3 linked regions of the Callithrix jacchus genome follow. Each later gene encodes a partner of the first gene's protein in a complex. Links are inferred from orthologs where the notes say so. Each region holds a gene or a part of one and is shown on either strand. Other genes may lie near its edges. The genes, in order: GPR161, GNAL and guanine nucleotide-binding protein G(s) subunit alpha isoforms XLas.

Region 1 (3,649 bases):
TTATATATCAAGAATCTTGAAAGCATGTTTATTGTTACTGAGAATACAGCAATTCCACAACACACACATGCTCCTCAGAATGCTATAGAGAATAGCAAGCTATATGAAGCCACCTAAACCAGGAATAGGGGACTGTAAAAATAATTTATAAACCTCCACAGGATGGAATACCTCATAACCGTGAAAAATCACCTTCTTCTTTACAGAATGTCTGCAAAGAAGAGAAAAGGCTCACAATCACCTAAATGAAAAAAGGAGGTCAGAAAACCACAGGTGCCAGAAGCCTGTTTCAAAAACTTGCTGTATACAACCAAAAATTACTGGAAGCAAATATACTAAAACCATAAACAGTGATTGCTTCTGATTAGATGATGAGTGTTTCGAATTTCATTCATTGTATTTTCTGTATTATCACCTAAGGGAAAAAAGAAGAAGCTAATTGATTCATTTTGACCAATGGCTTCATTGGTTCTGCCTCCACAACGCAGCCACAAAGAGCTGCCAGATTCCAGCCTCAGGTCTAGCTGCAGCCTGTGCTCTGGTGGACCGTTCTACTAGCACTCATCGGCTGAAAAACTGACAGTGTCAAAAAAGCCCGGGGACTTGTCTCACCCAGTGACAACACCCCTGGCTAGCCCCACTCTGTGTTTTCCCTGACCCCACTACTTACTCCCCTCCCCAATTCCTGTAAATCACACATACGTTGAATCTATCCTCCCTGTCCTCATGAAGTGGCCCTTAGCAAAATTCTAATAAATGCACTCATTTGTGGGAAACTCGCTGCCAAAGCCCACGAGACTTGTACAACTAAATCTGACAGCTTAATGTGGGAACCTGAAGAACCCTCAATATGCCACTTAGGAACATCACCTCCCTGTGCACTGGTGACACTGAGGGCAGGGGCAGCCCGAGTTACCAAATGTGCACACTGCCTCTCCCCGGTGTCACTGCTTGTAATCTCTGGCTATTTTCCCTCCCCTTGCTCTCCTTCCAGTCCTGGACTGTGGGGAGTGAGGATGTGTTGAGAAATGCTGAGTGTATGATAAAGTATATTGTTTGCTAAGAAGAACCATGAGAAGGAAAACCTAGCCACCACCCTCTCCCCACAGGTAGAAAACTACTTGGGGCATTCTAAAGTAGCAAGATAGTATATGCATATCACAGACCAGTTAAAACAATTCTTTAAGTGTGGGATATGTGACCCTGCCCCATGGCTCCCTTGTGGAGAATACTCTTTAGTTTGTCCATGATTAGTGGTAAGTGGGCACCAGCTGCCTTCCTGGTTTATCTTGGTGCTATGAGAAAACACAGAACACCTGTGGTGATGATTATTAACCACAGAACACTCGTGATTATAACACAGAACAACTGTTTGATAATAATCATCACCACAGGTGATAACCTCCTCATAACCACCTCATAACACCAAGAAATATGTGGGTCAGAGTCTGCCTGAGGCCCTCAGCCCAGAATGCTGTCAGTCCCCTGAGGCTCTCAGCTCAGAAGGCTGTTGACCCCCTACATAGTCCCACCTTGCTGTTCTATCTGGGTGTTTGCCTCCAATTCCTTCCACGCTGCCTGGGTGGGGGTCTCTGCAGCTGAGCTGGACTCGGGAAGGGTGCGCCCTGTGTGGGCTCCACTGGTCAACACCAAAGCAGGACAGAGCAGGAGTCACACTGGGAGAAAGTGCAGCAGAGTCAAGGGCCCTGGCCCCAAGGCTGCTCGGAACTGAAACCTGCCGCGGCTCGGCTTCTTCATCGACAAACCAAGAATCAGAGGTTTCCAGAATGTTCTATTTTAGGCAGTGGAACCTCTTTCTAAAATATAAAATTGTATGTAACATACACAGACAAAATGAGACATGGTCTGGTTGAAGATGTGGCTGCAGAGGCAGAACTCTGTCTGGTCATCCTCCCCTGGCAGGGGCCCCTGACCCTCACCAGGGAACTAAGGCAGTCAGAGGGACACTGCACCAGATGAGCTTCCATCCGCAATCCCTCAATTTTCTAAGTCTGAGGCATGCTTACCGGTCGATGGCAATGACCCCGAGGGTGAGCATGCTGGCCGAGCTGATCAGCAGGTAGAGGAGGGCGGAGAAGTTGCACCAGACGACACCAAAGATCCATTCCCTGCGGATACAGCTTGTCACCACGAAAGGGAGCACCAACACGGACAGCAGGAAGTTGGACAGGGTCAGGCTGAAGACGAACTTGTTGCTGAGAGTGAGGAGGTAGGACTTCTTGTACAAGGTGACCACGATGACCAGGTTGCCCAGGCAGACAAAAATGGTGATGACAATGATGGCGATGAACTGGGTGAGGATGACGCCCTCTTCGCCGCCCTCCTCCTCAGTGAGGTTACTCAGCTCCTTCCTACAGCCGAGGGAGGAGTTGAGGCTCATGGTCAGTGCACCTCGGCATGGGGTGGGCAGAACATGCTGGATGACTGGAAAGATAAGGCAGGACCAGGGGACAGGAAAAGATTCATCAAATGCCATCATCTCCACTTTAGGGAAGAAAGGTGAGGCTTAAAGGCTGTGCCTCAGGTCACCCAGCTAGTGCAGACTCTCAGCCAGTCTTCCCATGTGCTGCATAAGTGGGGCATTTCCTACAACCAACTCTGTGTGAAACTGATTATGTCCCCCTGACCGGTTTCTTCCTCTGGTCTAACCCATCCTATCCATTTTCCCAAGGCCAGTGATTCAAAACCATTAATGTGCTTAAGAATCCTCTGAAGTGCCAGTGCAGAGAGCTGATCCTTGAGCTCCACCACTAGAGGTTCTGGGCGCAGAGATCACAGGCACAGCCGAGGAATCTGCATTTTAAACAAGCAGGCTGGGGCAGGGCGGGGGGCTGTTACAAGTGGTCTGTGGGAGACACTCTGCAGACTGCTGTGTTTAGACCCTGGTTACTCGGGGTGGGCCCTGAACCAGCAGGATCACCATCACCCGGGAGCTCACTAGAGAGGCAGAACCTCAGGCTCCGCAGCTCCATCTACAGAATCAAATCCGCATTTTAGCCCCACCACCAGTCAGTTTTAGTGCTCTAACAGTTCGACAGTAAGATTCTCATGGGAATCGTTCTGAGCTCCCTGAGCAGGGATTACTCAGGTACAGTTTATACGGCGACATTATTACTGCTCTCATCAGACATGGCGAGGGAGGGGAAGCGCAACTGTAAATGGGGAAGTGGAGGCACCATTTGAGGTCTCAGCCCACAGACATCACTGCCTATAAGGGGCCGTCCCTGCTCTCGGAAGACTGGCTGGTGATGCTGGCTAAATCTCCAGGCTGACACATGTTAACATTCAATCCTACAGACCAATGTTTCTCCAGCACTCTTCATATACTTCAGTGAGCCAAAATACCCCACAGATCACTGTCCCCACCTGCTCTCATTCTCTGCACAGAGAAGACACCAAAAAGAAAGGAACAATTGTTTTCCATGATCAAGACAAAAACTCTGGTGCCTGATCTGCCTACACACAGCAACAGGGTTATCTACCACAACCCTCATGGTAGATCCGTGGCCTCTACTCAAACATTCTTTGTCCAGAGGGCGTGTGCAGGTTAATAAGGCAGCCCTTCCCCTCCCCAGCAGTCTTAAGTGCCAGTGAGAAAGTTTCCCTTATAGTATGGTGGTTACCAGAC
Region 2 (3,649 bases), on another chromosome or scaffold:
CTGACATCAGGGATTTTTGAGACACGATTCCAAGTGGACAAAGTAAACTTTCAGTGAGTATGTTGTTGAGAGCCGCATGGCCCAGGGCCAGGGGACCGAGAGCCGAAGGGTTGGGGGGCTTAAGGGGGCTTCATCCCTGAATGTGCATGGGTGCCCTTTCAGGTAAGGGCAACTGGGGTGAAATTTGAACTCTAGCAAGAGTTGAAGTGTTGATTTTACTGCCTACTTTAAAGTAGAAATGAGGACACCTGAAAGGAAAGCATGTTTGCATCTGAGTTGTAGATTTGATTGGCCCTTTTATTAGATCAGGAGACTCATGAAATTTTAACCTTTCAGATGCACAGTCACAGTTTGAGAACTGAAATTAGCAGTGTATGTGTGTCTCTAGCCCATCTCTTGGGTTGCCCAAGTGCAAACTCTGCCAAATGAGCTTACTTTCTTCCTTTTTCCTCCTCATGATGAGACAATAATTCTCCCTCCACAAAGCTCTTTTCCATCCTCACAGCTGTGACCCGAGTCCTGCTCCGTCACTTCCCCCGTGCCTAGACTCTCTCGGCAGGGCCCTGGCTGGTCTCCTATCTGCTAGCTTACCCATTCCAGTTGCCCTACTCAGCACCATGAAATGGATCTTCCCACAGCATGGCCTGGATTGTGCTATTCCTCTGCTGAAAATGGTTCGGGGATCACTATTGCCTGTGCATTCTATGACCCAAGCCCTCCACCTGTGACCTGCCCCACCCCCAGCCCTGCTTTACCACCTGCCACCTGCCTCACCAGGCTGGGTTGCTGTCAGGACCCTTGAGTTCTCCCAGCTCTTCCTGCTACAGCACCTCTATTCATCTTGTCCTCTGAGCCTCAGATTCTGCATGGGCTAAGCAAACCCCACAGATCTATCAAAGCTTCCGTCAGGACAGGCATAGTGGCTCCTGCCTGTAATCTCAGCACTTTGGGAAGCCAAGGCAGTAGGATTGCTTGAGGCCAGGGAAGACCGGCCTGGGCAACATAGCAAGAACCTGTCTCTACCAAAACAAAACAAAACAAAAAAAACTAAAGAGGCTGAGGTGGGAGGATCTGTTAAGCCCAGGAGTTCAAGGCTGCAGTGAGCCATGATTATGCCACTGCACTCCAGCCTGGGTGACAGAGTGAGACCCTGTCACTAAAAAAAAAAAAAAAAAAAAAAAAAAAAAAAAAAAGCATCTGAGCATCCCTCAGATCTCAGCCCATGGTGAGCCCTTAGAATTCCCATTGCATCTACTATGCAACCCTTGATGGTATACTGCCCTATACCTTTCCCAGTCCCCTTCGGCATGTATGACTCTATGGCTTAGGCCACAGGGTGCACTGGGTAGGGGCTGTGAGAAGAGGGGCCTGGGACTGGCCTGATGAAGTGCAGGATGTAGCTGAGAAACTGAGAGAACTGGCTGAGGTCACCTTTGCTGGGCAAGACCAGGGAGTGACTCAGGCTGGGCAGAGAAGCCTGAACTAAATCAGGGAAGTGATAAAGACCTACTGCAGGTCACCAGGCAGAGGCGGCTGGAGACAAGACACATGTAGTATCGACAGATCAGCAAGGAACCTTTCTCAATTCTCCAGGGGAATGAGGACACTCCCGCTTACAGTGTCCTGAGAGCTGGAATAAATCATAAGAAGAATCTGCCCTGGGCGGGGACTTAGCTTGTACTCAGAGAGGCCTTAGTGTCTGAGCAAGTAACCTCTAGCATTACTGAGCTAGTAACTACTGCATTTATTATAGACCTACTGTGTGACCTCAGACACTGCCGGCTGCTGTCTGCTTGATCTCTCACCCCTGTAGCCCCACTGTGGGGTGACAGAGGAGGGACAGTGGCTGAGAGAGGTGGAGCCACTTGTAGTCCAGGATCACACAGGGAGTGATGGTGCAGGCCAGACAGTGACCCAAGCCTGACTCAGACCCAGGTGTGATCGCTGGAACCTGCTGATGATAAAGGAGGAAAGCAAGCATGTGTGCCGTTGTCCCCTGCTTCCCTCAAATAATTGTGTTCCTCTTGCTCTTCCACAGCATGTTTGATGTTGGTGGCCAGAGGGATGAGAGGAGAAAATGGATCCAGTGCTTTAACGGTGATTTTCATGCTCTCTCAAGAAAATGGGAGTGAATTCTAACAAACTATTTTTGAATTAGATAATCTCTAATCTAATTAGTATGTAAAGTATAGCATTTTATAGATTATTATGAAGCTCTTTCCTTAGATACTAATCTCATTTTTAATAAGCATTTAAGGGCCAGGCACAGTGGCTCACGCCTGTAATCCCAGCAATTTGGGAGGCTGAGGAGGGCAGATCACCTGAAGTCAGGAGTTCAAGACCAGCCTGGCCAACATGGTGAAACCCTGGCTCTATTAAAAATACAAAAATTGCCGTGCACATTGGCTCACACCTGTAATCCTGTTTGAAAGCACTTTGGGAGGCCAAGGCAGGTGGACCATGAGGTCAGGAGTTTGAGACAGCCTGGCCAATATAGTGAAATCCTGTCTCTACTAAAAATACAGAAATTAGCTGGGCATGGTGGTGCATCCCTGTAGTTCCAGCTACTCAGGAGGCCGAGGCAAAAGAATCGCTTGAATCTGGGAGGCAGAGGTTGCAGTGAGCCAAAATCACACCACTACACTCTAGCCTGGGCGACAGAACAAGACTCTGTCTCAGAAAAAAAAAAGCCAGATGTGATGATAGGCCTGTAATCCTAGCTACTGGGGAGGCTGAGGCAGGCTCAGGCAACCACACCCAGCTTATTTGCAACCCAGGAGCTGGAGGTTGCAGTGAGCCGAGATCATGCCATTGCACTCCAGCCTGGGAGACAAGAGTGAAACTCCACCTCAAAAAAAAAAAAAAAAGCATGTAAGCATCCCAAATTTACATGTGTCTTTTGGGGTAGGTGCTTCATCAGTATTTACTGAAACAACAAGTGATGCGCGTGGTGCACATCCAGGCTGTTCTGTGACTGAATAGTCCTATCATTGAACGAATGTTTTGACGAACTGAGTAGCTTCTGGGTGTGTACTTTCATGTAACTTCACAGGAAGGATTTCTACCTGAGATGCTTTATTTTTTCTCTTTTCACCCCACAAGACGTCACAGCTATCATCTACGTCGCAGCCTGCAGTAGCTACAACATGGTGATTCGAGAAGATAACAATACCAACCGGCTAAGAGAGTCCCTCGATCTTTTTGAAAGCATCTGGAACAACAGGTGATAAAAATAACAAATTCAGTCTCACTACTGATTGCAAATTTTCTTTTGTTAAAAATATGCTCAGGCCAGGCATTGTGGCTAACACCTGTAATCTCAACACTGGGAAGCCGAGGTAAGGTGGGTCACTTGAGCCCAGGAGTAGTAGGAAACCAGCCTGGACAACATGAAGAAACCTTGTCTCTACAAAAAATAGAAAAATTAGCCAGGTGTGGTGGTACACACCTGTACCAGTTACTCAGGAGCTTGAGGTAGGAGGATCGCTTGAGCCCAGGAGGTGAGGGTTGCAATGAGCTGAGATCACACAACTGCACGCCTGCCTGGGCAACAGAGCAAGACCCTATCTCAAAACACACAAACACACACAGACAGGCTGACACACACACTCTCTCTCTCTCTTTACTGATAAATCCAGAACCGTAAGAA
Region 3 (3,649 bases), on another chromosome or scaffold:
TGTCCTTGGGGGTTTTAGGTAAATTCTGCATTCAAGAGTGAACATTGGGGACCATCAAACACATGTCCTTTTAATTTATAACATCGAAATAATTGATGTTAGACTGTAATACCAAGGCCAGAAATTCTTAAATTTAGAAATGAGCTTCGTTCGATTCTGCACATACAAAGCAGACAGTCCCACAGAGCGGTGAGGACTTGGTCCCTTTCACTTTATGGTGGTTGCTTTAAGAGTGTGGGGGCCCGAATCAGATTTCAGATTTGTGCACAAGGTCCGAAGCTCACCTCTCCCTGTCATCTGTGCTTCTGAGGTTCTCTGGACCTGTACCACTTTTACTTAAATGGCCCTGAGGGGATTCCTGGCACCATCTGTTCTGCCTCCCTTCCCCAGACACCCACCTCCACTAATGAGCATGGCCCCTCTGAACTCTGCCAGCTCTTCAGTGTAGAAGAACAGTGGCTCGGAGACCTGTGAAGCCTCCCTCAAATAAGTACGCAGACGTTAATTCAGAAGGAAATTCGGGAGTAGAGTTCTTTGAGAAAGGGAAGACCACATTATTTATGGAAGGCCTGTGGGCAGGCTTGCACTTGACCCCACCATCCATCCCCTCCCCTCCTTCCCCACTGACCGCCCTGCCCTGCTCGTTCACTGTTTCTAATTAACCTCCCTCCTCCTCTTCTCTACCTTGACTTTGTCATGTTCTAGTCTGGAGGGAATTATATGTTTAATTTCTACCTCCATTCTATGAATTGGCGCATCAGCCAAGTGAATGCTTCAAAAACTGGGAATCTCAAAAGATTAAAAAAAAAAAAATACAGTGAAAAAGATAAACTTTATTCCCTGTATCTCCCACCCCCATCAGTTTCTGCCTCTGCAAATCAAGGCTTCCCCCCCCCCCCCCCGCCCCGCGCCTCATTTTCCCCATCAGAGAGGCAGGACCATAGCACTTTCCTTCTGTACAACAATGCTCTCACCTCCCAGGGCCTAACAGGTACAGCAGGTGTGCTGGGTGTGCTGCACATTTTTGGGCTGTAGACCTGGTGAGACACTCCGAGAGGCCCTTTCTTGCCCCCCCTAAAAACACAAACTCCAGAACCTTCCCTGGCTGTGCTTATATTAGAAGGCTAGTTTCTGAAAGACATACGGCATTTGGATCAGTGTAATCTGGTACAAAAATTAACATTAGGGTCCCCAGAAGCCAGAGGGTGTGGCCTTTACCTGTAGGACCAGTGACCCTGAATATAGATCATTCCGTAAAGACCACACAGGCCATCCCATTTGTCCGAGATAAAGTCAAGGAAAAGCTACAAAACCTTCAACCTCTACTTACCAGAGGGATCTGGCCCCTTCCCCCATAGAGTATAAGAACATCTAGGGGGTGGAATCTTATTTGATACCTATGCACATGGACCAACATGCACTAATATCATAAACTAGAAAGTTCATTGCTGCTAGTTGAGCGCCCGGAGCAGCACACCTGTGACTTGCTGCCAAGCCCTGAGACCTGTAATGAACCATTTTTTTCTTTGAGATGGAGTCTCAGTCTTTCGCCTGGGTTGCGGTGGTGCAATCTCTGCTTACTGCAACCTCCACCTCACAGGTTCAGGTGATTCTCCTGCCTCAGTTTACCCAGTAGCTAGGATTACAGGCACGTGCCACTACATCCAGCTAATTTTTTATATTTTTAGTAGAGATGGGGTTTCACCATGTTGGCCAGGCTGGTCTGGAACTGCTGACCTCGTGATTCACCTGCCTCAGCTTCCCAGAGTGCTGGGATTGCAAGCATGAGCCATGGCACCTGGCCCTTTTTTTATTTCTCCCAGACGGTCTTGCTCTGTCATCCAGGCTGGAGTGCAGTGGCATGATCTAGGCTCACTGCAACCTCCACCTCCCTGGTTTAAGCAATTCCCCTCCCTCAGCCTCCCGCACCCTGTAGCTGGGATTAGAGGTGCATGCCACCAAACCTGCTAATTTTTTTGTATTTTTAGTAGAGATGGGGTTTCACCATGTTGGCCAGACTGGTCTCAAACTCCACACCTCAGACAATCTGCCCTATAGGCGTGAGTCACCGAGTGCCCAGGCCCCTGTATTGAACTATTACTAACACCAGTACCTGTGCTCACTGGTTCTCTCAGTATGCTAATCTAGCAACTGAGTGAATTTTACATCAAAATAGGGGACTGTTTTGCTCCACTGCAAACTCTTAGTGACCTGTCATTTCAGCCTCACCCCTACCCAGATGCTGACAGGGTCAGAAGTGTTAGTATGTAGTATGGGGCTTCAAGCCCATGGGACCACCTGAAAGAGTCGGTGACCTGTGTGCAACTTTTGGTACAGTCATGATTGCTAAGGCAGTTTGCTCATCTGTCCCATTGGGCATGTCCTCCGGACACATTTGGGAGGTTACAATTTGCAGCCATGTCTATTGAGCTACCTCCAATCTTTGCACAGATCTGAACCCACAACTCCTTGAAGAACAGAATACTATGCTTTGTAGTCGGAATATCTTTATGCAAGCAATACTCTCAATTGACACGATGCAATATGATTTTCTTCTTTTTTCAATCCCACTGCAGTGAGAAGGCAACCAAAGTGCAGGACATCAAAAACAACCTGAAAGAGGCAATCGAAGTACGTGCTGGCTCCTTGCACTTTCTGTCTTACAGCCCCTCCCAGCCAGTACTGCTCCCTGACCACTTTGCTCAATCCTTTTCAGACCATTGTGGCCGCCATGAGCAACCTGGTACCCCCTGTGGAGCTGGCCAACCCTGAGAACCAGTTCAGAGTGGACTACATTCTGAGTGTGATGAACGTGCCTGACTTCGACTTCCCTCCTGTAAGCTACACCCCGACTTATGTGGCCTGAGATCCACTCACCTGAGCATAGTGTTCCTCTAAGAACATCAGTGACAGCCCTGCACATGGGCAAAAGTGTTCAAACCACACCTCAGGCAAAACACATTTCAGTGACATCCATCACAAATAAACATCACTCTTTAATATTACAATCTCATTTTATTAGATTGTAAATGTTTAGGAGGAAAATAGTTCCTGAGCTACGGTAGGCTTAATTATTCACATCTTAGGACAAACAAACCTGTATGTTAAATACGGTGCACAAATACTAATTGTCCATTTACTCCACTGGAAGTGCCCTAAGTTCCCTTGGGATGCCTCAGTGAAGTGCCAAATGGGAGACATTCTCATTTTAAACAGGTGACCTTTTCATATTTATTAAGAGTTTCCTAAAGTCAGTCCTGGTCTTTGGGCAAATGAAATCTTTTCTCATTATTAAAAAAATGTTTAAATATATCTAAATTGTAATTCAAAAATACATCATAAAATAGAACACATGGAAAAGACTTTCCTCTGGATGCATGACACCATTGGCTCCCTAAAGAACTATTTTTAGGGAACAAAAAAAACCGTTCAAGCCCAAACATATACGTCTAGGCCCCTTCTTGGGGAGAGTGGCTTATAAGCAGGGAACTGGAAAGATGGATGCGTTTGTAAGGCCCACAAGGAAGAGACTTGTCTACAGCGAAAACAATGAGTTACTGTTTCCTTTTGTCAGGCTTTCGTGGGAATTTGTGTTTGTATATTTTAGATGGACTTGGCTGCAAACTTACATTAGCAGAGAAATTAATAG

Evidence for each region.
Region 2: the proteins of GPR161 (region 1) and GNAL are in contact, whole or in part, in a cryo-EM structure (PDB 8KH4), measured with the Homo sapiens proteins. The link is inferred for Callithrix jacchus from reciprocal best matches to the Homo sapiens genes GPR161 and GNAL. Residues at the interface, in NP_001254539.1 of Homo sapiens: Arg125, Ala128, Val129, Leu130, Pro132, Met133, Tyr135, Pro136, Met137, Ile139, Ile211, Val214, Ala215, Lys218, Ala219, Lys267, Ala268, Thr271, Trp327, Asn328, Lys329, Arg332; in NP_001135811.1 of Homo sapiens: Ala41, His43, Lys203, Val204, Phe206, Phe363, Cys366, Arg367, Asp368, Ile370, Gln371, Arg372, His374, Leu375, Gln377, Tyr378, Glu379, Leu380, Leu381.
Region 3: the proteins of GPR161 (region 1) and guanine nucleotide-binding protein G(s) subunit alpha isoforms XLas are in contact, whole or in part, in a cryo-EM structure (PDB 8SMV), measured with the Homo sapiens proteins. The link is inferred for Callithrix jacchus from reciprocal best matches to the Homo sapiens genes GPR161 and GNAS. Residues at the interface, in NP_001254539.1 of Homo sapiens: Arg125, Ala128, Val129, Leu130, Pro132, Met133, Met137, Ile211, Val214, Ala215, Lys218, Ala219, Lys267, Ala268, Thr271, Ile272, Trp327; in NP_000507.1 of Homo sapiens: His41, Lys216, Val217, Phe219, Phe376, Cys379, Arg380, Asp381, Ile383, Gln384, Arg385, His387, Leu388, Tyr391, Glu392, Leu393, Leu394.

Annotation. Positions count from the first base shown.
Region 1 is NC_133519.1:34,190,198-34,193,846, reverse strand, and holds part of GPR161 (G-protein coupled receptor 161), read right to left. Parts: intron 2,446-3,649; coding exon 2,028-2,445; intron 1-2,027. UniProt on the Homo sapiens protein: Key negative regulator of Shh signaling, which promotes the processing of GLI3 into GLI3R during neural tube development.
Region 2 is NC_133514.1:50,861,013-50,864,661, reverse strand, and holds part of GNAL (guanine nucleotide-binding protein G(olf) subunit alpha), read left to right. Parts: coding exon 1-53; intron 54-2,038; coding exon 2,039-2,097; intron 2,098-3,102; coding exon 3,103-3,223; intron 3,224-3,649. UniProt on the Homo sapiens protein: Guanine nucleotide-binding protein (G protein) involved as transducer in olfactory signal transduction controlled by G protein-coupled receptors (GPCRs).
Region 3 is NC_133506.1:54,470,863-54,474,511, forward strand, and holds part of guanine nucleotide-binding protein G(s) subunit alpha isoforms XLas, read left to right. Parts: intron 1-2,572; coding exon 2,573-2,631; intron 2,632-2,716; coding exon 2,717-2,836; intron 2,837-3,649. UniProt on the Homo sapiens protein: Guanine nucleotide-binding proteins (G proteins) function as transducers in numerous signaling pathways controlled by G protein-coupled receptors (GPCRs).